4 linked regions of the Arabidopsis thaliana genome follow. The protein of the gene in region 1 interacts with the protein of each later gene in a pairwise test. Each region holds a gene or a part of one and is shown in the gene's direction. Other genes may lie near its edges.

Region 1 (4,494 bases):
AAATATAAAGTCTCCTTTTTGAATTTCAAGTACACACTCCAAAATTCAAATTTTATTGAGCTGATGGTTTTTTATTCTTTTAATATTTGGCAGTCATCTTTTGAGCTTAAAAATGAAGAGAACTTGAAGTTGAAGGAGAGACTTGACCTTGAAAAGGTAGATTTTCGTTGCTATTCTCTGTTTTATTATCATGGTTTTCATTGTATTCTTAAAAAAACCCAATATTTTTCCACAGGAGATTGCAAGTCTCCGAGCAACATTCGATGAACAAAACCTTAGGAACCAAAAGCTGAAGAGGATTAAGGTAACATTTAGATTCTCCCTAACCATCTTTACAGTAATCAGATATTCCAGATCCCTTCTCTCTATTTGCTGGTCTCATCGACTCTTGTGTTTTCTTGTTTCAGCTTGACTTAAACTCAGGCCGTGTCACAAACAAGAAACCTGTTGATTTGATTCGTAAATCACAACTCGAGCGGCTACAGGGATCAAAATCTTGCAAAACCAGTGACTCGCAAAATCAGGGGAGTTTCTTCGTCCTCCCTGATCTCAACATGGCGCCATCCGAGGAAGAGATATTGTACGGAACTAGCTAAAAACTGGCCTATATGAAGATTTGCGATCGAATTATAGTGAAGGGAAGAAGGGAGCTAGAGATGTCAACTAAGAAAAGTGAATGTAATAAGTGGTGTAATGAAACTCTCCCGTCACATTCTGGTTTTCCGTTTCCTTCTTTTTTTGGGGTAAAATGCTCAATTACTTCTTGATTTTTTCTTAGGAAGAGGGTGAAAATTAGGTTTTTACTTTTTACTCCCTCCCTCCCTCCCTCTCTGTTTTCTTTAATTTGATGTGTTAGAAGAAAAAATTTGTTTTAAATAGATGGTGTTATCAATTTTTAATGCAAAATTAACTACTTTTTTTTTTCTTTCTTTCTCTTTGTACCGATTTAAAAGCTTTTGTTGGAAATTGTAAAGAGGAAAAAGTAGGACAACTAATAGACTTTTTATGTTCCAAACATTTTCTTCTTCACTATTCTCCATACATTATTATATTAAAACCCTAGTTTCCGCTCAACTAATCCAAGACAAGAAGATCTATCAATCTCTTTGGACATTCATTTTTCTACTATTTAATTTGAATTTTTATAATATAAACTTGGGAGGTGTAATGCTATTGGTGGGTTGTCGGCGTGTTCATGGAAAAAGATTCGTTTTTAAATGCCCAATAAATTTGAGAAAAAATTGCCAACTTGTTTATGAGCTTATTTTCTTTTTCATGGATCCCAAGTCTTTTGTGTATAGAGATTAAAAAAAAATGACATTCCTTCATGTAAAAAAGAAAAAAATATCTGGGTTTTAAAAATATCTACAATGAGTTTAATGGTAAATATACTTATCATAATTTGGAGAATAAAGACCTAAAGAAGAAAATTACACTCTAGAACAGAAGTTTTGTAAGCAAATCATTGCTCACAAAACTTGTGAATTACAGAATTACAGGCTCTTGTAGGTTGAGTTATTTTATGCTTCATTTTGGTTACAGGCTTTATGTTGACATTAAAACAAAGAGATTGAAGTAGAGTCCAAAAAAAAAAAAAATATATATAAATATAAAATTCAAGATTAATTAAAAAATATTGGTCTTCAGAGAGATAAATAACTAGGGGAAAGAGAAAACAGTCTTCTCTTCTCCGATCCCAAAAACGCAGGAAAACAATGTCGTTTAACAGCTCCCACCTCCTTCCTCCACAAGAAGACCTTCCTCTCCGACACTTCACCGATCAATCACAGCAACCTCCGCCGCAGCGTCACTTCTCTGAAACACCTTCGCTTGTCACCGCCAGTTTCCTCAACCTCCCTACCACCCTTACCACTGCGGATTCCGATCTCGCTCCTCCGCACCGCAACGGAGACAATTCCGTTGCTGATACAAACCCACGCTGGCTCTCCTTTCATTCGGAGATGCAAAATACTGGAGAAGTACGTTCTGAAGTTATCGACGGAGTCAACGCCGATGGTGAAACGATACTCGGCGTTGTAGGAGGTGAAGATTGGCGGAGTGCTAGCTATAAGGCGGCGATTTTAAGACATCCGATGTACGAGCAGCTTCTTGCGGCTCACGTGGCTTGCCTTAGGGTTGCGACTCCCGTTGACCAGATTCCGAGGATCGATGCTCAGCTCAGTCAGTTGCATACCGTCGCCGCGAAATACTCCACTCTTGGTGTGGTTGTTGACAACAAGGAACTTGATCATTTCATGGTAAGTTTCACTTTCTAATTTTGCAAAATTTTAATGTTTTGAACTGTGAACGATTCAGCCATTTATTTCTCTTTGATTATCTGAGTATAGCAAATTCACATTTTTGTGTGGCTCATTGTTCCCGCTTCTCGAGTCTTGCAATCGATATGATCTTTGCTTCTACTTTTTTGGTTAGCTTGTAATTCGAATTATGAACTTTGTCTGACTCAAATAAGTTATATTTGTTGCATAAAGCTTCTTCTTTGATGACTAATAGTTTGTCTGATTCTTGCTGAAAAGGACTTTGCATGTCCAAGAGAAAGAAAGCATAATCTATTTTTTGTAACGTTCTGTTTGTATGTCTTATGGATTGGAATCTTACCTTTGATTATTATGTTGATGCAGTCACATTATGTTGTCTTGTTATGTTCATTTAAAGAACAACTCCAACACCACGTTTGTGTCCATGCAATGGAAGCCATTACGGCTTGTTGGGAGATTGAACAATCACTGCAATCCCTAACTGGTAACGTCCCAAATCATTTTTTTTTTTTGTTATTGTCTTCTTGCTTTATGTGTGTCTTGGTTTTATCGGTTTTTCTTTGTTCTGGTTTGTAGGAGTTTCTCCAAGTGAAAGTAATGGTAAGACAATGTCGGATGATGAAGATGATAATCAAGTAGAGAGCGAGGTGAACATGTTTGATGGAAGTTTGGACGGTTCAGATTGCTTGATGGGGTTTGGTCCTCTTGTTCCAACCGAGAGAGAGAGATCTTTGATGGAACGTGTGAAGAAAGAACTGAAGCATGAGCTTAAACAGGTAATTGCTTGATCAAGCTGCAATGGTACATCAAACTATACAAAACACATTGTTAAATCATGTTGCTCGGTTTCTTTTTTCCCCTGTAGGGTTTCAAAGAGAAGATTGTGGACATAAGAGAAGAGATAATGAGGAAGAGAAGGGCGGGAAAGTTGCCAGGAGATACGACTTCTGTACTCAAAGAATGGTGGCGAACTCACTCGAAATGGCCATACCCAACTGTAAACACCTTGGCCGAGAAGTTTTGTTACCACATTGTCAAAAGCAAGGTTTTAATTCGTGATTTGGTTTTGGAATTGCAGGAGGAAGATAAGGCAAAACTGGTTCAAGAAACCGGTTTGCAGTTGAAACAGATCAACAATTGGTTCATCAACCAGAGGAAAAGAAACTGGAACAGCAACTCTTCCACGTCATCTACTCTCACCAAGAACAAACGTAAACGGTAAAACAAGATCCGTTCTCTTTTTCAAATTGCGCAATTTCATTAAACCAACCCGGTCAAGATCTTCTTTTGTAACCAAACTCAGGACCGGGAAGTCGTAGGTGACATAGCGGCTAACTAGAGGATGGTTCTTTGCCATGTGAATTCTTGGGAACCGTATATGAAAGAAACGAATCCGGTTCTATGCTCGTACAGAGTGTGTTATTTGTATAGTGGATACCGGTTAGCCTATGAAACCGGATTCTGGAGTCCAAATTGTTGTTTGTAACGACTTAGTAGTTTTTGGAAGTGATCTGTTTCGTTGGTTTGCGTCTTGTAACGAACGCTTAAGCAAGTGTGGGTTTTTTCTTGTAAAGTGTCAATATGTTCGTTTGTAATGAATGTATCAAGCAATATTTATCATAATTAAACTAGCTTGAAATGTAGTATTACGATGTTGTTGTGTTCGTCTGATTTCTCTCACCGGTTGATGCATGGTTACGTTCGGCTCGGTTTTTATATGGTTCAATTTTTAATATATCGATAATTTTAAATGATTTCACTTGTATTATTAACAAAGCCCATTGGTATTTGGCCCAAAATCTGAATGCCGACTTAATGACTTGTTTCTTCTTCCTTCAGCTTCTCCAACGAACGGCTTTTGTTTTAGTTTTTTTTGCTTACCTTTCTCTCGACTTGGTCTACTTTTGTTACTCTTTGAGTTGGGTGATTATGGCAGCAGCACCACAGGAGGAACGATCTCCGTCGCTTGACGATTGCCTTAAGCTATTGAAAGGGGAGAGAGACGAGCAGAGGCTCGCCGGTCTACTTCTCGTCACCAAATTCTGTAAGAACGATGACATCGTTTCTCTCAACAAGGTCTACGAAGCCGTTGGTACTCACTTTCTCGACCGTCTTTTCCGTACTGGTAATCAAAACCCCGAATTATTGATCTTTGTCTCAGTAAATACTAATATCAATTTTGGGGTTTCTACAAAGTGTGAATTTTTTAGTTGAG
Region 2 (5,788 bases), on another chromosome or scaffold:
GAGAATCATTCCTACTGTTGATACAGATAAAACCAATAGAATCATCAGTGGCCATCTCTTCTTCTGCAATGTTGCCCACATACTCGTTGATGGCTTCGCCATTGTTTCTCTCTACAGCTTAGAATCACATCCTAGGGTTTACACAGTAACAATCGATCTCAGAACTTTCTAAGGATCTGTCGTCAGTGATGGAGAAAGCTTGGAACGAAGAAGTTTAGAGGAGAGATTTAATGGGGAAAAGCCGCTAATCAGTGTTGACTCTTTGCAGAAGTTTGCAATTCACGCCGTTTTTGTTATTTAGAAGGAAGTTGATTGCCGTTTCTCAGCAGGCCCCCGATGGAATCCTCTCTTCATATTTATAATGGGCTTTAAAAGGCCTATTTGCTAAAAGCCTAAAACTAAACTAGTTATGATGATAGTTAATGCATACTATATGGTTTTAATTCTTTTTTTTTCTTAAGCTAAGCTAGGCTTCAGATTAGTTTTGCTGATACAATTTTGGTTTGGTTTTGTTTGGTTCTAATAATGGAGAGCATAATGATTTCGATCCATAGAATATAAATGTTACAAACATGAATTTTAGTGGTGATGATCCGTCTTCATATATGGTCCAACAATGTATGTGGCAATAAATTCTTTTACTTTTTGTTACACGGCCATAACTTGTGGCTATTTATTATAAAGTTTTTTTTCGGATATATCCATGTAATTAATATATTTGACAATTGGCAAGAATTATTATACTTCAACATTTTCCTCCAAACCAAAGGTTGTTCATTTCTTACTCACACACATTTTCCTCGTTTAGCATCATCGATTCATCCTCAACTTTAAAATATGATTTACAGAACCATACGGTTTTAAAAATAATTACATCATTAATAATCTAAATTTTTAGTAGATTTAATCAATCTCTCACCAGCTAACTGCCTAATTAATTTATTTTTAATCATCATTATAAATCAAGATCCACGTGGAAACAAAAGTCAATATCATCATCTCTCAAAGACTCAAAACACATGAATAATAATTTTCCAACACAATGGTACTTGCCAAATGATTTTGTGTCGGCTGCTCTAAATCCAATCTCCAACAAACCAAAACGAAACTACTTGTTATTTTAAAAATCAGAGGAAATGGATTATATTATTAGTGTAGCTATAAAGATAATCTTTTACGTATTCTTCATTGTGGAATATGCAAATACAAACATGTAAGTGTATAACTAAAAGGTTTATAACAAAAGAAATAAAAAGACAAGAGAACTTAGAATAAAAATTGGGTATAACAGAAGAGTAAGGAGGGACTCACCAACTGGTTGTTAAGTCATTTAATCCATCAATTAAGCAATTGAGCAGACACACACCCACCTTTGTTTTATCTTCTTCCTTAAACCAGCTTATCAGGGTCAGTTTTGTAATCTCATATTCCTACCTATAATGACGTTTCTATGTTTTATTTGATGGAGTTTAATTTCCGCTACCATGCATAACTAAAAGTATATCCGTTATATCAAACATTTAAAGAAAACCTCAAAGATATTGAACTACAAAGTGCTCAAGAAGTTCTATTAAAAATGTATCGAACTTTAACTTTATGATGAAAGCAAGGTGATAAGAACAAATAGTTTAAAAAAACATTTTAGTTTGAAATCCAAATCTAGACTCTATAATTTGTGGCAGGTAATAATTTCACTATTTTGGAGCCTCACGTACACAAATCAGGAAGTCGTTAAAAGTTTCCCACGATACCATGGTAATGTACGCATTATAGATTATTTCGTTTAAATAGTTAGATTTGGTTTTTTTTTTTAATATACAAATACTAAACTTTTCATATATAAACACTCATTCCTTCAACTTTTTTCTTTTGGTTGTATTTAGTTAACTTATACGGAAAAGTAGTATGAGTCTCAAGTCAATGACAACACAACATCATTAAAGTATAATACAATCATCTATAAAAATCCATTTATTTGTGTGTGTGGAATTGTTAAGTTTTGTATGTTAAAGTCGTCATAAGAAATATTATCACGTAATCAAGAAAAGAAAATTGGTGATTTGTAAGCTCTCACGTGTTTCTCTATGAATGGTTGGCACACAAAAAAAATCATATTAATTTATCTTTACTCTAAGCATCAGAAACAGAAGCTTCTGCCGCAAAAAATTAAAAATTACAGGTAGCGGTTGTCAAATTTTTCCGGTAGTGATCATTATTTTATTTTATTGTTGATATTGCATAATAATATTTTTAAAAATTGGGTTGGTGTCTAATGTCCCAATGATAAGTTGGGTTGGTTTTATTGTTCTTGTGGACTGAAAAAAATTTGTTTATTTAAGAATTTTGCAATTATTAATCGCCTCTTTCTCTATCTCTCTCGGGATTGGGTCTCAAATCTTTTTTTGTCTTCAACTGTTCGAAACTCTTCTGCTTTTGTGTTTCCTGATTCAGCCACATCCACACTCACAAACACAATCTCTAGGTTTTTTTTCTTCCTTTTAACTTTGATTCTCTCCCTCAGGTAGTTTTTAAAAATTCAAGTTCTTGATTCTTGATTCTTGATATGATTAATCTTGTACTGTGTTTCTTGATTATTATTTTTTGTATACTTTCTGTGTTTTTTTTCTCCCTTGCTTTTTGGAAATTCTCCTACAAGAGATGAAATCATCAAGACACTTTACTTCTTTATGTAATAATTGAATCTTCTCTGCTTTTGACTCACTACGTTGAGCTACACAATTTCTTTTTACTCTGCATTTTTTTTTCCAACCTCAAATTAGGGTTTTTTTCTCCTCTCAATTTCACCTCCATAGATCGGGTATTCCTCTACGATTACACAATTCCTGTATTGGGTTTTTCTGGGTTTCTTCAGTTCTTCACGAAAAACATTTGCTTTTTATCAAGAATTTGACTTTAATCCTCCGAATAATTTGGTCCGATTCTGTTTGTTGCTTTCGAAACTGTTTATGTATGATATATAAAAAAAATGGTTTGGTGTGAAATGATTACGATGTTTTAACCTCTCTTAGATTCCATCAGAAATTTTTAAAATTCCACACCTTACACGACTCTTCTTCCTCTTATTTTTTTGCAGGATCTCATTTCCCGACCAAACTCATCGAACTAAGAACTCACTGTAATAAAACTTTTAAAAGGTGTAAACACCAATGGCAGTTTATTACACAAGTAATGTCGGTTGTTACCAGCAAGAACCAATCTTTCTCAACCATCAACAACAAAACCAACAAGCTTCTTCTTCATCCGCCGCCGCTTCTTTCACCGTCACCGGCGGCGATACTGTTCGAAACGAGATGGTTTTTATCCCACCAACCACCACAGGAGACGTTGTAACAGGAAACGGTACCGTTTCAAGCAGCGATCTAAGCTTTCACGATGGTCAAGGACTGTCTTTGAGCCTTGGTACTCAGATCTCTGTTGCTCCGTTTCACTTTCATCAATACCAATTGGGGTTTACTAGTCAGAATCCTTCAATTTCAGTCAAGGAAACGTCACCGTTTCATGTGGATGAGATGAGTGTGAAGAGCAAAGAAATGATCTTGTTGGGTCAATCTGATCCTTCCTCTGGTTATGCTGGTAATGGTGGGAATGGCTTCTACAACAATTATCGGTATAATGAGACATCAGGAGGGTTTATGAGCAGCGTTCTGCGTTCTCGGTATCTTAAACCTGCTCAGAATTTGCTTGATGAAGTGGTTAGTGTCAAGAAAGAACTAAACCAAATGGGGAAGAAGAAGATGAAAGTTAATGACTTTAACAGTGGTTCTAAGGAGATAGAAGGAGGAGGTGGTGAGTTATCGAGTGATTCGAATGGGAAATCGATTGAGTTATCTACAATTGAACGTGAAGAGCTTCAGAACAAGAAGAACAAGCTTTTAACAATGGTTGATGAGGTAACTAACTTACATTTCATAAAACTACCTTTGGTTTATAACAGGATTGATGGTGATTTGGTTGTTGTGGATGTGTTAATGGTTGCAGGTAGATAAAAGATATAACCAATATTACCATCAAATGGAAGCATTAGCTTCATCATTTGAGATAGTAGCAGGACTTGGATCAGCTAAGCCTTACACATCAGTTGCTCTCAACAGAATCTCTCGCCATTTTCGTGCTCTTCGCGACGCAATAAAGGAACAAATTCAGATTGTTAGAGAAAAACTTGGGGAGAAAGGAGGAGAGTCGTTGGATGAGCAACAAGGAGAGAGGATACCAAGGTTGAGGTATTTAGATCAACGGTTGAGACAGCAAAGAGCTTTGCATCAACAGCTTGGAATGGTTCGACCTGCTTGGAGACCTCAAAGAGGTCTTCCTGAAAACTCTGTCTCTGTTCTTCGCGCTTGGCTCTTTGAACATTTCCTTCATCCGTAAGTGTTTCTTCTCTCACAAGTCACAAGTCACAATCTTTCAATCTCCCAGTACAAAACATTTAGAGAGACTCTATGTTTTTCTTCTGTTTTTTTTATTTGTAGATATCCGAAAGAATCTGAGAAAATCATGCTTGCAAAGCAGACAGGATTGTCAAAGAACCAGGTATAAACCAAGCTTTTGGTCTTCACTTAAAATTTGCACCCTTTGTGTTCTGCTTGAATAATTCTGGTTTCTCTGCTAAATGATTAGGTTGCTAATTGGTTCATAAACGCGAGAGTTCGTCTGTGGAAACCGATGATCGAAGAAATGTATAAAGAAGAGTTTGGTGATGAATCTGAGTTACTAATCTCCAAATCTTCCCAAGAACCCAACAGCACAAACCAAGAAGACTCCTCATCGCAGCAGCAGCAGCAGCAAGAGAACAACAACAACAGCAACCTCGCTTATTCATCTGCAGACACAACAAACATTGTCTTCTCATCAGAAACCAAACCAGATCGTGTTCTAGGCAATGATAACGACCCACAGCAACAACAGATAAACCGCTCATCGGATTACGACACTCTGATGAACTATCACGGGTTTGGTGTTGATGATTACCGTTACATTAGCGGAAGCAACCAGCAAGAAAGCAGATTCTCCAATTCCCATCACTTACACGACTTTGTTGTGTGATATTATCTGGTTCTTCTTGGTACAGAGGAGATGATTCTTGAAGCGCAAGAAATGTGCTTTTGCATTTTTATAGTATTAGGCATAATACACCCATTCTCTATGGATTATATAGTAGATGTGTAGGTTGCTTTTGTGTATAGTAGACTCTTAAGCCAAATATTGATATGTGTGTATAATAATATTCACGGTGGTATAAAGGATACTTGCAAGTGTGAAAAAATCTGAACTTGAGACTTTTGTGGTAAATGTTTCACGATTCTTTATAGTATATATCACTGGACTGTAAAAACGAAATGCAGTCCTTGATTTTGAAAACAAAACGGCACGTAGTTTCTTTGTACTGTGAATCAGTTAAAGTACAACAGACCTTGGAGTCTCTCAGTCCTCCGATTTCAATGGCGGTTTTTCAGTTACCAAGTTTGTCACCGGAGATTCCTTTCCGTTTTACTCCCACACCACTTAAATTTTCAAATCGTAGGAGAATCAACTTTTTCCGGCCATTATCAGCAACCGACGATTCTCGATCCGGTGCACCAGATCCAGAATCGCCGAACCAAATGTTCATTCTCGGGATGGGATTCGTCGGAGGTTTTTTTGCGCAACAGCTCAAAGAATCAGACTGGTCTGATATCTCAGTTTCTCTCCTTATCTCTATATCTATCTATTTTCATCTTTCTCCGATGGTGTTAACAATTTTGGAGGTTTAGGGTGGTTTCAGGGACTT
Region 3 (7,639 bases), on another chromosome or scaffold:
TGGCACATGCCACGAGGGCACATGATATGGTAAAAGCATTTGGTCTTGTTTGGCAATCTTCCTCAAACATCTCAGATAAAAGTTCGAGAGCTTTATTTGCATCCCCGTGCTGGGAGTATCCACCTATCATCACAGTCCAAGTCACAACATCCCTTTCCTTGGGGGAAAGTGAATCAAACATAGCACGTGCAGTATCAACCTTTTTGCACTTAGCGTACATGTCAATCAGTTGATTGATTACCATATTCTCATCACCATGACCGTTCTTACGCAAGTCTATGGGATATTTGATGGCATAACAATGAATCTCTTTACCATGCATCAATGCTCCAACAGAAGCACAACCCGAAAGAACCGAAATAAGCGTGACTTCATTTGGTTTTATCCCAGAAGACAACATCTGCCTACACACACCCAAAGCTTCATATCCAAGTCCCCGTTGAGCATACCCTGAAATAGCAGCACTCCAAGTAACAACATCCATTTTTATTTTCTCTTCCTGCATCTTCTCAAATAACCTAACAGCATCTTCAAACCTTCCAATCTGTGAATACCCAGCAACCATAGCATTCCAAGATACTACGTCCTTCACTGACATGTTCGAAAACACCGTGTTTGCCTCATCCATCATCCCACACTTTGCATACATATCCACCAAGCAATTCCCTACAAACATATTCTGTATCATCTCACTTGTGACTGCAAAACAATGCAATTGCTTCCCTAGTGAATGAGTTCCTAGGGAAGCACAAGGAGGAAGAACATTCACAAGGGTAATATTATCAGGTCTACATCCGAATTCATTGGTCATCCTGCTAAACATTTCAAGCGCCACCTTAGGTTTGCCTAACTTTGCATAACTTTCTATTATAGAGTTCCACGATACAACATCCCAAACAGACATTTCGTCGAACACCTTCCGTGCATCACTCAATGAACGACAACGGGAATACATAGCAACAAGCGCATTCCCAACAAAGACATTGGAGATAAATCCAGTTACCAGAGAAAGCGCGTGAGCAGATTCTCCACAACGAACGGAGGATATCTCGCCGCAAGCCTTGAAGACGAAGGGGAATGTGTAATTATCCGGCGTCCATGACAGAGAATGCATAAGGCCGAACAAATAGAGACATTTATTGGCGCAGCCATTGTCGCCGTAGCTGCGAATGAGTGAATTCCAATGGTAGACACCAGCGTCAGATGGAGGAAAACGACGGAGGAGAGATACGGCATGAGATAAGCAACCGACGGAGATATAGGTGGAAATGAGGTGGGAAGTGAGATTCAAGGTTAGGATTCCGAAAGAGAGGAGTTTCTGGTGAATAAGCTTGACCTGAGAGATGGTTTTGCATTTGTGAATAAACGGCGGTGTTATCTCCGGCGCCGATGTCGAGAAGAGAGAGACTTTAATGTACTGGTGAGATTTTGCGGCGGCGTTGGGGATGAGAAGGCGGCGGATCATACTACTGTAACTAGAGTGGCGGGTGATTTCTGCGTTTAAACTAAACAAATCAATTCGGTTATATCCCGGTTTTAGATTGGAAATTTGAAGAAAGTAATGAAACCGGATGTGAAAAGAAGAAGAAAGTATAATAGACCGATTAAAATTTAAAGCGAATTTCGGTTCGGTTTATGTGCTAAGCGACCTGCGTTTGCGGTTGAGTGGACGCTTTGGATAGCGTTTGTAGCTCAGCTTTGAATTGTTTTGAAATTTTCAAAATCGCAGTTTATAGTTTCGAGAACCCAGAAGACCTTTAATCTCCCGCCTCTTTCACACCATCAGACTCCATTATCGAAGCTCGTTCACTCTTCTCTCTCTCCAAATTCGAGAGAAAGGAGGAGGAAGGTGTAATGCCGCGTAAACCTAGACATCGTGTACCGGAGATTCTATGGAGGTTATTCGGAAACAGAGCCAGGAATTTAAACGACGCAATAGTAGATCTGATTCCTAACCGGAATATCCAGCCGGAGCAATGCCGATGCCGGGGTCAAGGTTGTCTCGGTTGCAGCAGCGATAAACCGGCGTTTCTGCTGCGTTCCGATGATCCCATTCACTACCGTAAACTTCTTCACCGTTGCTTCGTTGTACTTCACGAACAAACCCCTCCGCTTCTGGATTTCTCTCCAACATCTTGGTGGTCACAGAGAGAGGTAAGATTCTTCTTCCCACTGTACTATACATTGCTTTGAGTGCTTAATTTGAGATATTTCAAGACGTGGCTACTCCTTATAAAATGCCTCTATGTTATCTTATTTTGTATGATGTTGCTGATTTCTAAACATTTTGCTTCAATTGAGTTTATCAGATTGTTGAAAGGATTATTGAAATGATGCAATCTGGATGTGATTGCCAAAATGTGATATGTGCCAGATATGATAAGGTGAATTCTTCTTCTTCCTTCTCAAACTCAATGTAGAGTGCTGATTTTCTTAGCCTAATGATTTCTCGTCTCCTTTGACAGTATGATCAGTCGAGCCCTATTTTGGAGCTATTGACAAGTTCATCTTGGGAGTTTCTTCTCAAGCGGGTTTGTTCTCAAACCCTTTTGATGATTTACTTTCAATATTCGAGTTTGCGGTCACTAATATTCAAGTTCCCTTGTTTATAGGTCGGTCATGACGTCATGGTTTATCTTCTACAGCAAACATCAATATTCTTACCATTACTAGGGAAAAAACACCAGCAAGTGTCTGGACCTCCTCTATGTATCAAGCATAAGCGTGAGTCTCAGAATTAAACTTGTATCCGAGCTCTTCTGTTGGCTTTCTTTTGAAACTTCCACTTTCTTGTTGGTTCTCTGAATACTTATGATTTGTCTGTGACTGCTTGGTTATCGATTATCAACTTCTGGTTTTTAGTTCATATTAACTTAGTAAAGTTTTCCTTCTCCATGGTATAGGGACATTGTCAGTCCATGAAAACAAAAGAAAGAGGGATGACAACGTTCAGCCACCAACGAAAAGGCAGTGGCTTTCTTCAGCTGTCGATGACTGTCCTAAGGATGACTCTGCAACTATTACGCCCATAGTTGGCGAGGATGTAGACCAACATAGAGAGAAAAAAACTACTAAGCGTTCAAGAATATATCTTAAGCGTCGGCGAAAGCAGAGAAAGGTCAATTTCAAAAAAGTTGACTGTAATGCTCCTTGTATAACTCCCAGTACAAATGGTAAAGTCTCAACTGGTAATGACGAAATGAATCTGCACATTGGTATAAATGGAAGTCTCACTGATTTTGTAAAGCAGGTAATGTTCGTAACAATGATATTGATCAATCAAGTTTAAGTTGAAAATGCACAAGTTTAAACATAAAGTTATTGCTTAAAATTACTAAGAGACGTGTATAAATTGCTCTTGATTTATCCTCAGCCTTGAGAAATTGATGGGACTATTTTTGTAGTTGTACTTTGGTGTATTTTAAAAACTGTATCATTTATCTTGTTGTATTCTGGTGGTTATTAATATTCTTCCTGACACTTCATTACCTTCAAATTCGACAATCTGTTCTTGTATTTGTAAGATTTAATCACTGTTTTTTGTAGGCTAAACAGGTTAAAAGAAACAAGAATTTCAAGTTTGGCCTCTCAGAAACGTATTCAGTTATACCACCAAACCGTATCCTTCAGTGGTTTTGACATGTTCAATGACTTGTAGCAACGATAGCTTGATGGAAGTTTAAACGTTACTCTTCTCTATACAGTTCTTCTGCATTGTGAATGATTCCTTATGATATACAGACATTTTAAAAACCTTGAGGCCCAACTGCTCTGATTCAAAGCTCCTAATGAACCATATATTTGGTGAAGTAAATGTTTGGTCAACGACGCCATCTCATGGCAAAGGCAATTGCCCCAGTGGATCTATTTGCTTGTAAGTCATCCATTTATTCTTGTAAGTTCTTCGGCTTACTCTGAGACTTGGAGCATGTATTCAGATAATGTAGAGCACATATCTAAGTAGTCTGAGTTATAAAAGGAATTTGTTTAAAAGTTTTGTTGAGGTAACTGATGCAAAGAAGAAAATGATATCATGATGTCTTTTACATTGATTTGCAGATACCATTCATTGCTCAAGTCTCTTAAAAATCTAATAGGAAAAACAAAGTCTTCACATTTAAAAATGCTACTAGACAAACACTGTCCTGTTCTCTTGCTGCAAGAGGATGCATTGAAGTCCGGAACGACTTCTCAGGTTGATATTTTTCTTTTAGAGATGGTTTTCATATTTAATTTCCCTAGCGTTTTTCGTTTGATGTCTTTTGAGTATTTCTATTTCAGAGAAGTTATGTTGAATATTCGAATATGTACAACAAAAAGAAACTAGAAATGGAAAATCAACACAGTTGCTACTTTATAGACTTTGGATATATAGTGCAAACCTGCATAAGAATTCATATCCGTGGCACTTCCAAGTGCTTCCTTGAAGTGACGAACCTTGCATATCTTGTATTACAGAGTTCAAGGAGGCAAAAAGCAGATAAGCTGCCTCATGGATCAAGTTCATCACAAACGGGAAAACCCAAATGTCCCAGTGTTGAAGAAAGGAAGCTGTATTGCACGAACGACCAAGTAGTTTCCTTTATTTGGGCCATCTGTAGGTACATTGTTCCAGAAAGTTTGCTTGGGACCACTCATCAGATGAGGGTGCTTAGGAAAAATATAGCGTGGTTTGTTTCAAGGCGACGAAATGAGAAATGCACAGTGAATCAGTTTTTGCATAAAGTGAAACCATCAGATTTCCCATTCTTTGCTAGAAAAGAGTTATGCTGTATGGTCAACGGACATGAACTCCAAAGTGAATCCATCAGAAGTACACAGCAGATGTTGTGCACGAAATGGATTTCTTGGCTTTTTTTAGAGATTGTCAAGAAATTGGTGCACTTCAACTTCTATGCCACTGAAAGCCAAGGAGGACGGCTAAATATTTATTATTACCGGAAAAGGAGCTGGGAAAGATTAATAAGCAAAGAAATTAGCAAAGCCCTTGATGGATATGTCCTAGTAGACGATGCTGAAGCTGAAAGTAGCAGGAAGAAGCTATCAAAGTTTAGATTTTTACCAAAGGCCAATGGTGTGAGGATGGTGTTAGACTTTAGTTCTTCGTCAAGGTCGCAATCTCTTCGTGATACACATGCTGTTTTGAAGGACATCCAGCTCAAAGAACCAGATGTTCTTGGGTCTTCTGTCTTTGACCATGATGATTTCTACAGAAACCTATGCCCATATCTGATCCATTTAAGAAGTCAATCTGGAGAACTTCCTCCTTTGTACTTTGTGGTTGCGGATGTATTCAAAGCATTTGATTCAGTCGACCAGGGTAAGCTGCTTCATGTCATTCAAAGTTTTCTGAAAGATGAATACATCTTAAACAGATGTAGGCTGGTCTGCTGTGGGAAGAGATCCAATTGGGTAAACAAAATACTAGTCTCGAGTGACAAAAATTCTAACTTTTCAAGATTCACATCAACTGTTCCATATAATGCACTGCAAAGTATCGTGGTTGATAAGGTATGCTTCTTTTTGACCTAGAGCTTTTTGATCTTTTTGCAGAGGGTAAAATACAAAACTATTGGACTACTTAAAAAAATCTCTAGAGATCTCTTTTCTTAGTGCTTGTAGCGTCCCTGTTGTTCTTTACTTATTTGCTTAACGGTGTTATGGTTTTGGTCCAACCTTCTAGGGAGAAAACCATCGAGTGAGGAAAAAGGATCTAATGGTTTGGATAGGAAATATGCTAAAGAACAACATGCTGCAGTTGGATAAAAGCTTCTATGTACAAATAGCTGGAATACCTCAGGGACACAGATTATCATCCTTGTTATGTTGTTTTTACTACGGGCATCTCGAGAGGACTTTGATCTACCCATTCCTCGAAGAAGCCTCTAAAGATGTGTCTTCTAAAGAATGCAGTAGAGAGGAAGAGCTTATAATTCCCACGAGCTATAAGTTACTGAGATTTATTGATGACTACCTTTTTGTGTCTACCTCAAGAGATCAGGCGAGTAGCTTCTATCACAGGTTGAAGCATGGATTTAAAGATTACAACTGCTTCATGAACGAAACAAAATTCTGCATAAATTTTGAAGATAAAGAAGAACATAGGTGTTCTTCTAATAGAATGTTTGTGGGAGATAATGGAGTTCCTTTTGTCAGATGGACGGGTTTGCTTATTAATTCCCGCACATTTGAAGTTCAAGTTGACTACACAAGGTCTGCCTCATCTCCTGTATGTTTCCTTCATAAGTATACTTGTTTGGCTCTGTTTCCTCAGCTTTTATTTATAATTTTGCCTCAAATTCATGGAAACAGGTACTTGAGTGGCCATATAAGCTCAACTTTTTCTGTAGCTTGGCAGAACAAACCAGTTAGAAATCTTCGGCAAAAATTGTGTTACTTCTTGGTTCCGAAATGTCATCCAATTCTATTTGACTCGAACATCAACTCGGGAGAAATCGTCAGGTTAAACATCTATCAGATCTTTCTGTTGGCTGCAATGAAGTTTCACTGTTATGTCTACGAGGTGTCCCGGTTTTGGAAGCTTCATCCTCAAACTTTGTTCAAATTCATCACAATATCTGTCAGGTATGGAATCAAAACTACATCATATGTCTGTGAGCATTTCGGTTTTTGGATCATTCTGATTTGAGTTATTCGGTCTTTTTTTGCTTATTCGGTTCTTGATTTCTTTCCAACTGATAGGTACATGTTCAGACTCATAAATAGAAGGGTGCGCAGAATCAACACTGGTTCTAGTTTCAGACCAGTTCTTAAACTATACAAAGAAGAAGTGATATGGCTTGGCTTAGACGCTTATATTCAAGTTCTGAAGAAGAAAAACTCGAGATATCGAATGCTCTTGATCTATTTAAAATCTGCACTTTCTAAACACTCTCTTTCTCAGCAGCTATCGTCGGAATTGAGGTATGCAACAGACCGGTCAAACTCTTCTTCGCTGTGGAAGTTGAATTATTGAAACTGATCTTAACTAGATTTTATCATCGAAACTTAGGTAGATCCTTTAAATTTCTATTTCAGTCATTTTGATAATCTAGGAACAAAATGGATTTGTAACATTTAGGGTAAAGAAAGATTTAAATGTCAACTTATTAAATATGTATATTGGAAAAAACCCAAACTATAGTCTAATAGTGGTAGGGAAAATCCAGGCATAGCTTATATGGTACATCCCAAAGACCAAACCAGATTTCCAACTTCCATGTCAAAGAAACCAACAAGGAGAAACAAAGGAAACTGTTTAACTTGATGATATTAGTTCTTCGAGTATTCGGACGAATGAATCGGAGAATACCCTTCTGGCAGTTGCTGCTGCGACTGTGCTGGTTGCGATGGTTGCTCAGCTTCAACCTTCTCTTTTGTTTTCTGTCCAACCTCTCCAGCTGCTTGAGCCACTCTATTGAATGCTCCTGCGGCCCAGCTCACACCAGTTAACACGTAACGGTTCTTCATCACAGCGCTTCCTGCACTGCTCACAGTCTGCTCCGCAGCTGCATACACAGACTTGGTCCTCTCTGTTACCTGAAAGTTTTGGTCCACCGCCTTGATTTTTTCGTTCACCAAGCTTGTTCCAGCTGTAAGTTTCTGGCTAAGACCGATTTTTTGGTCTAGTGAAGCAACT
Region 4 (6,574 bases), on another chromosome or scaffold:
CTATTTTTACAACAATTAATAATACATGTGCCAAGCAGAAGAACGACTATATTAGTTTTCTATGTCAACATTTAAGAAACATTTATTTAAAATTTGAATATTTGATTTTGTATGTCAGCAATGTTTAAGAAAACTTTGATTTTTTGTTTTCCTTCTTTTGCGTACATATTAAATGGAATTTAATAGAAAACCATTAAATCTTGATATAATTAACTTCTTCGCCCTTGCAGTTACTAACAAGGAGACTTTTGTTTTGGTACTTTCTCGATTAGTTTAGTGACCGACCAACAACGTATTTTAAAACTCAAAACACAATCTCTTTCACGTACTGTGCGAAGTGCAAGTCGAATAATGACATCAGTCCATTTGTGTTGTATTACACGGGACTACGATCTCTATTCTACTATATATAATTACTATTAATTAAAATGTTTATATAGTTATGATATGGTTGATAGTAATTTAATAGTAATTGTTAAACAGTAGAGAAGTGACACTGAGACATATCTGAGAAAAGCCTGAACTCAACTCCTACTTCTGGTTTGATTTCTTGGGATTCGTTCTCTTTCATTTACTTACCTCTCCATCTATACACCAACATATATATATATATATTGGTATGTTAATTCTCCAAAAAAAAAAAAAACTATTTTAGGAGCAAAACTTTTTCACAGTTATTCATTTTTTAAGTTAACTTAACTTCTCTTCTTTGTTTGAAAATTCATTTATCATCAAATAATTCTGTTATAAATTAGACCTGATAATAATTCTTTAACAAAGAAAATATATTTTAGGAGCAAAATAGGCAGAGCCGCAGAGGCATACATGTATTATATATAACGATTATTTATGTATAGAAAGGGACACCTTTTGTACAAAATACTAGTTAAATTTGTACATTCACGTGACTGGTTGGCTAAATTTAGAATATTATTATTTTCAATTAAAAATCATCGTCAATGTTCAAATATTGCTTGAGATACGCTATGCTTCATAAAAATGTTTAAAAAGTAGTTCCAAAAAATATTTTCACCAAAAAAAAAAGTAGTTCCAAAAATATTCATTTAATAACAAAATTTGCCTACATAAGCTTAGCAAACGACACTAACACCAAAATTGATATCATTTTCTTAGATAACATATTGTATACATATCTACATACATACTAAATACATATACACGTAGATTACACGTATGGATTCAGCAATAAAAATCAAAATACTAAATACATATATACATATATATATATATATATGAACATTTAAATACTAAATTATGTTTAATAAATAATTAAATCAACGTAGAGATATGTCATATGAAGATGGCTTGTATAATTAGTTTGTGTACCGGGCAAAGGATCTCTAATTTTTGTTTTCTTTAGTTCAGTTTAATTATTTGTTATCTATCCAATCAATTTTTTTTCTAAACTGTTTGGACCAATGTACGTACGTACCATCCTTTTTGATTTTTTTTGTAAACTAAATTTTCGAATTAGCAGGTTCTTAATAATTGAACGAAGAAAATAAAGAATAGAGGTAGACACCTGTAGTATTTTCTTGGTCAGACCAATAATTTATAATTCAACGTCAAAGAAGAAGAAAAATATAAACCATTATTTCATTATGACTTACGTATACCAAAATACACAAATTAAATGTATAATTGTGAGGCATTTTATATGCGGGAAAAAATAAAATAAAAAGAATATTAATATTTCTTTTGAAAATTGTAAAGCATTTTGACCCACTTGTGATATATATATATATATAGATATATATAGAGAGAGAGATTAAAACATTGATGGCTAGCTATAGAGTCTATGGCAGGGTCATGATCACCTGTCTTCTGATCTCTGAAGAGATACCAATCTGATTTTTTCTCTTCCTAGGTTTAATTTTATTTTACCATTTTATAATTCTTTATTTTTGCCTGTAGTACAATTTACAGACCCATACTAAAAGAAAAATTAAATTTTGTCAAAGTACAAAACAAAGAGAGAGGTGAAGCCACACAATCTCTTTTCTTCTCTCTCTCTCTGTTATATCTCTTCTGTTTAATTCTTTTATTCTTCTTCGTCTATCTTCTCCTATAATCTCTTCTCTCTCCCTCTTCACCTAAAGAATAAGAAGAAAAATAATTCACATCTTTATGCAAACTACTTTCTTGTAGGGTTTTAGGAGCTATCTCTATTGTCTTGGTTCTGATACAAAGTTTTGTAATTTTCATGGTATGAGAAGATTTGCCTTTCTATTTTGTTTATTGGTTCTTTTTAACTTTTTCTTGGAGATGGGTTCTTGTAGATCTTAATGAAACTTCTGTTTTTGTCCCAAAAAGAGTTTTCTTTTTTCTTCTCTTCTTTTTGGGTTTTCAATTCTTGAGAGACATGGCAAGAGATCAGTTCTATGGTCACAATAACCATCATCATCAAGAGCAACAACATCAAATGATTAATCAGATCCAAGGGTTTGATGAGACAAACCAAAACCCAACCGATCATCATCATTACAATCATCAGATCTTTGGCTCAAACTCCAACATGGGTATGATGATAGACTTCTCTAAGCAACAACAGATTAGGATGACAAGTGGTTCGGATCATCATCATCATCATCATCAGACAAGTGGTGGTACTGATCAGAATCAGCTTCTGGAAGATTCTTCATCTGCCATGAGACTATGCAATGTTAATAATGATTTCCCAAGTGAAGTAAATGATGAGAGACCACCACAAAGACCAAGCCAAGGTCTTTCCCTTTCTCTCTCCTCTTCAAATCCTACAAGCATCAGTCTCCAATCTTTCGAACTCAGACCCCAACAACAACAACAACAAGGGTATTCCGGTAATAAATCAACACAACATCAGAATCTCCAACACACGCAGATGATGATGATGATGATGAATAGTCACCACCAAAACAACAACAATAACAATCATCAGCATCATAATCATCATCAGTTTCAGATTGGGAGTTCCAAGTATTTGAGTCCAGCTCAAGAGCTACTGAGTGAGTTTTGCAGTCTTGGAGTAAAGGAAAGCGATGAAGAAGTGATGATGATGAAGCATAAGAAGAAGCAAAAGGGTAAACAACAAGAAGAGTGGGACACAAGTCACCACAGCAACAATGATCAACATGACCAATCTGCGACTACTTCTTCAAAGAAACATGTTCCACCACTTCACTCTCTTGAGTTCATGGAACTTCAGAAAAGAAAAGCCAAGTTGCTCTCCATGCTCGAAGAGGTATATATATTTTCAAGAAATTATTTCATTACTACTATCAAAACTTACATGAGTTTCTTAGAAAATCTAATCCTTTTTTATTTGGTTTCAACTTATTCCTAAAAATGTAAAATACCCACAAGTCTTTTACAAATCTTTTTTTTTTTCCTTTCATTTGGTTTCAACTTATTCCTAAATATGTAAGATACCCATAAATCTTGTATTTTTTCGATTCTTGATTAGGTCCATATATTTCTTAAAGTTACAAATTTCTTTTAGATATTAAGATAAAAAGATTCTTTTTTGTCTTCATTCTTTCATGTATTCTCGTCGAAAACAAGTTCGATCGTATCAACTACGAAAAGATCAACCCTTTTAATTCCTTTACTCATTATTTCTTTTTTTCTATAGAACCAAAATATAATTTTGTTTTCTTTGCTTTGAGCTAATTTGGAGACTCTAGTGGTCCTCCATATTTATAGCAATCAGTTTCATCATCATAAGCCATAACGAGTTGTTTCTTTTTCGTGTATTTACTCATTCTAAGAATCTACATTTACACGATTGTGATTGAAATCTTTGTGAATGGTGTGGGGTAACGTTTTTTTGCGGTTTTTTGGCAGCTTAAAAGAAGATATGGACATTACCGAGAGCAAATGAGAGTTGCGGCGGCAGCCTTTGAAGCGGCGGTTGGACTAGGAGGGGCAGAGATATACACTGCGTTAGCGTCAAGGGCAATGTCAAGACACTTTCGGTGTTTAAAAGACGGACTTGTGGGACAGATTCAAGCAACAAGTCAAGCTTTGGGAGAGAGAGAAGAGGATAATCGTGCGGTTTCTATTGCAGCACGTGGAGAAACTCCACGGTTGAGATTGCTCGATCAAGCTTTGCGGCAACAGAAATCGTATCGCCAAATGACTCTTGTTGACGCTCATCCTTGGCGTCCACAACGCGGCTTGCCTGAACGCGCAGTCACAACGTTGAGAGCTTGGCTCTTTGAACACTTTCTTCACCCGTAAGTTATTTCATATACATCCTCTTAATATATTTACACATACCTAAAAGTTACTAATTGTGTCTTTCTGAAGTGATCAATGAAGGTAGAATCACAAGTTAATTGGGTATATTTATGGAGCTATATAAAACCTCTTTAACGATTTTATTTCATTGATAGTACGTTGATAAATAGTATGATAGGTTTTTTTTGTTTGTTACATGAATATTTTTGAACATATAAAAGTAAAAAAATATGTACATTTTATATAGAGAGATTGAGATTGACTTGACAAGCATAGGATACAATCTACCTTAATCTGTTAATTGCATATAGCTTTTTTATTTTCCTTTTTCTTTCATTTGCACTATTGGTGTGAAAGTGAGTGTACAAACATATACATATACACATGTATATATATGTATACGAACATATAAAATTAAATAAAATAAATTTAACTGGTGGATGAAAGACAGAAATAGAGAAAGGTACAAAGTGGATTGAGAGAGAGAATCAATGTTCTTTACCTAACACTAACAAAAGAGAGAAACTATACATAACTCCTTGCTTTTTTCTCCATGTTTTTATTTTGTTCTTTTTCTTCTACTTTTTATTTATTTAATTTACAGAAGTTATATGTTTATCATCATATGTAACACTTGTCTCCATCAATTCCCAAACACTGCTCAAACAATGAAACATCTTGTTAGTTTTCACCAAACCCTTTACCTTTGCTTCCATTTTATTTGCATCATTCTTCAATCATTTATATCCTTTTTTTTAATTACATATCCATTTGTCTTATATTTTTCCATTAAAGTAAAATTTTCTTATTTTTGTTTTCAGATATCCGAGCGATGTTGATAAGCATATATTGGCCCGACAAACTGGTTTATCAAGAAGTCAGGTAAAGAATAACTCCACTAATTCTTGATATATTCCAAAATTTATTATCCTATTTACTAAAGTTATAATAAACCAAAATTGTTAGGTATCAAATTGGTTTATTAATGCAAGAGTTAGGCTATGGAAACCAATGATTGAAGAAATGTACTGTGAAGAAACAAGAAGTGAACAAATGGAGATTACAAACCCGATGATGATCGATACTAAACCGGACCCGGACCAGTTGATCCGTGTCGAACCGGAATCTTTATCCTCAATAGTGACAAACCCTACATCCAAATCCGGTCACAACTCAACCCATGGAACGATGTCGTTAGGGTCAACGTTTGACTTTTCCTTGTACGGTAACCAAGCTGTGACATACGCTGGTGAAGGAGGGCCACGTGGTGACGTTTCCTTGACGCTTGGGTTACAACGTAACGATGGTAACGGTGGTGTGAGTTTAGCGTTGTCTCCAGTGACGGCTCAAGGTGGCCAACTTTTCTACGGTAGAGACCACATTGAAGAAGGACCGGTTCAATATTCAGCGTCGATGTTAGATGATGATCAAGTTCAGAATTTGCCTTATAGGAATTTGATGGGAGCTCAATTACTTCATGATATTGTTTGAGATTAAAAGATTAGGACCAAAGTTATCGATACATATTTTCCAAAACCGATTCGGTTATGTAACGGTTTAGTTAGATAAAAACCAAATTAGATATTTATATATACCGTTGTCTGATTGGATTGGAGGATTGGTGGACAAGGAGATATTATTAATGTATGAGTTAGTTGGTTCGTCAATATCACTTGTAGGATATTTTCATTTTGTTTTTTAAAATATATTATTGAGAGGTTTTTTTCTCAATCTAATACTTTTTTCTTAATGTAAATCATATATATTTTTGTTTAAGGAAATATTATCAAGTGTCTTTTCAAATCTGTTTTCATATTCTAGGACCATCTCAAACTATTTGGAAACATTCAATCCCTTAAAATTTTGTTTTTCTTATAAATTTGGTTTCAAAATTTCGAAAAGTAAATGGATATATAGTTTTTTTTAAAGTATGTTGAGTGTCTGTACATGACAATCGTTTACGTATATACTTGATACAAATTATAAAATTGAATGTGTGTAACTGTGTATAATATACACATAAATAGATATCACACAAACATGGACGAGTGAAATTTGTGTAGTTGGCATGCATTATACGGATTTGGAATCGAATAGATACGACTTCAGTAACGAAAATCACTAGACCATCATATTTATATAAAGACATAATTAGAGAGAGTGTATGGTCTTTGTGTTATTAATGACAAAACCTAATAAAATAAAGTTGACGACAAACATAATAAAGAAAGAACAAACTGACTATTGGACCATCTCGGTCGATCGATAACGTTCACGTGTACACTCCCGTATACATATAAAGTTATGTACACATGAATAATGAATTCAAGCAAGT

The links.
Region 2: the proteins of KNAT5 (region 1) and BEL10 interact in binary tests that used the Arabidopsis thaliana proteins (3 or more experiments, as listed by UniProt).
Region 3: the proteins of KNAT5 (region 1) and TERT interact in a two-hybrid assay, tested with the Arabidopsis thaliana proteins (one study listed by BioGRID).
Region 4: the proteins of KNAT5 (region 1) and BEL1 interact in binary tests that used the Arabidopsis thaliana proteins (3 or more experiments, as listed by UniProt).

What each region holds. Positions count from the first base shown.
Region 1 is NC_003075.7:15,492,412-15,496,905, forward strand, and holds KNAT5 (homeobox protein knotted-1-like 5), read left to right. Parts: upstream 1-1,577; 5' UTR 1,578-1,715; coding exon 1,716-2,258; intron 2,259-2,642; coding exon 2,643-2,763; intron 2,764-2,855; coding exon 2,856-3,055; intron 3,056-3,144; coding exon 3,145-3,276; intron 3,277-3,357; coding exon 3,358-3,497; coding exon of another isoform or gene 3,498-3,501; exon of another isoform or gene 3,502-3,582; coding exon 3,583-3,598; 3' UTR 3,599-3,970; downstream 3,971-4,494. Other genes in the region: AT4G32030 (uncharacterized protein), read left to right, coding at 94-156, 236-304, 408-596; AT4G32050 (neurochondrin family protein), read left to right, coding at 4,209-4,404.
Region 2 is NC_003070.9:6,809,234-6,815,021, reverse strand, and holds BEL10 (BEL1-like homeodomain 10), read left to right. Parts: upstream 1-1,958; 5' UTR 1,959-2,179; intron 2,180-2,264; exon of another isoform or gene 2,265-2,818; intron 2,819-3,027; exon of another isoform or gene 3,028-3,094; 5' UTR 3,095-3,167; coding exon 3,168-3,911; intron 3,912-3,999; coding exon 4,000-4,385; intron 4,386-4,490; coding exon 4,491-4,551; intron 4,552-4,638; coding exon 4,639-5,064; 3' UTR 5,065-5,257; downstream 5,258-5,788. Other genes in the region: AT1G19710 (UDP-Glycosyltransferase superfamily protein), read right to left, coding at 1-102; AT1G19690 (NAD(P)-binding Rossmann-fold superfamily protein), read left to right, coding at 5,460-5,686, 5,772-5,788.
Region 3 is NC_003076.8:5,537,660-5,545,298, reverse strand, and holds TERT (telomerase reverse transcriptase), read left to right. Parts: upstream 1-1,739; 5' UTR 1,740-1,854; coding exon 1,855-2,154; intron 2,155-2,309; coding exon 2,310-2,384; intron 2,385-2,465; coding exon 2,466-2,531; intron 2,532-2,612; coding exon 2,613-2,724; intron 2,725-2,903; coding exon 2,904-3,250; intron 3,251-3,546; coding exon 3,547-3,619; intron 3,620-3,741; coding exon 3,742-3,874; intron 3,875-4,059; coding exon 4,060-4,195; intron 4,196-4,458; coding exon 4,459-5,511; intron 5,512-5,683; coding exon 5,684-6,213; coding exon of another isoform or gene 6,214-6,229; intron 6,230-6,312; coding exon 6,313-6,585; intron 6,586-6,702; coding exon 6,703-6,976; 3' UTR 6,977-7,119; downstream 7,120-7,639. Other genes in the region: AT5G16860 (Tetratricopeptide repeat (TPR)-like superfamily protein), read right to left, coding at 1-1,465; BPA1 (binding partner of acd11 1), read right to left, coding at 7,273-7,639. UniProt on the Arabidopsis thaliana protein: Telomerase is a ribonucleoprotein enzyme essential for the replication of chromosome termini in most eukaryotes. It elongates telomeres.
Region 4 is NC_003076.8:16,578,041-16,584,614, forward strand, and holds BEL1 (POX (plant homeobox) family protein), read left to right. Parts: upstream 1-1,895; 5' UTR 1,896-2,383; coding exon 2,384-3,241; intron 3,242-3,843; coding exon 3,844-4,235; intron 4,236-5,060; coding exon 5,061-5,121; intron 5,122-5,205; coding exon 5,206-5,730; 3' UTR 5,731-6,037; downstream 6,038-6,574. UniProt on the Arabidopsis thaliana protein: Plays a major role in ovule patterning and in determination of integument identity via its interaction with MADS-box factors. Formation of complex with AG-SEP dimers negatively regulates the carpel identity process and favors the maintenance of ovule identity.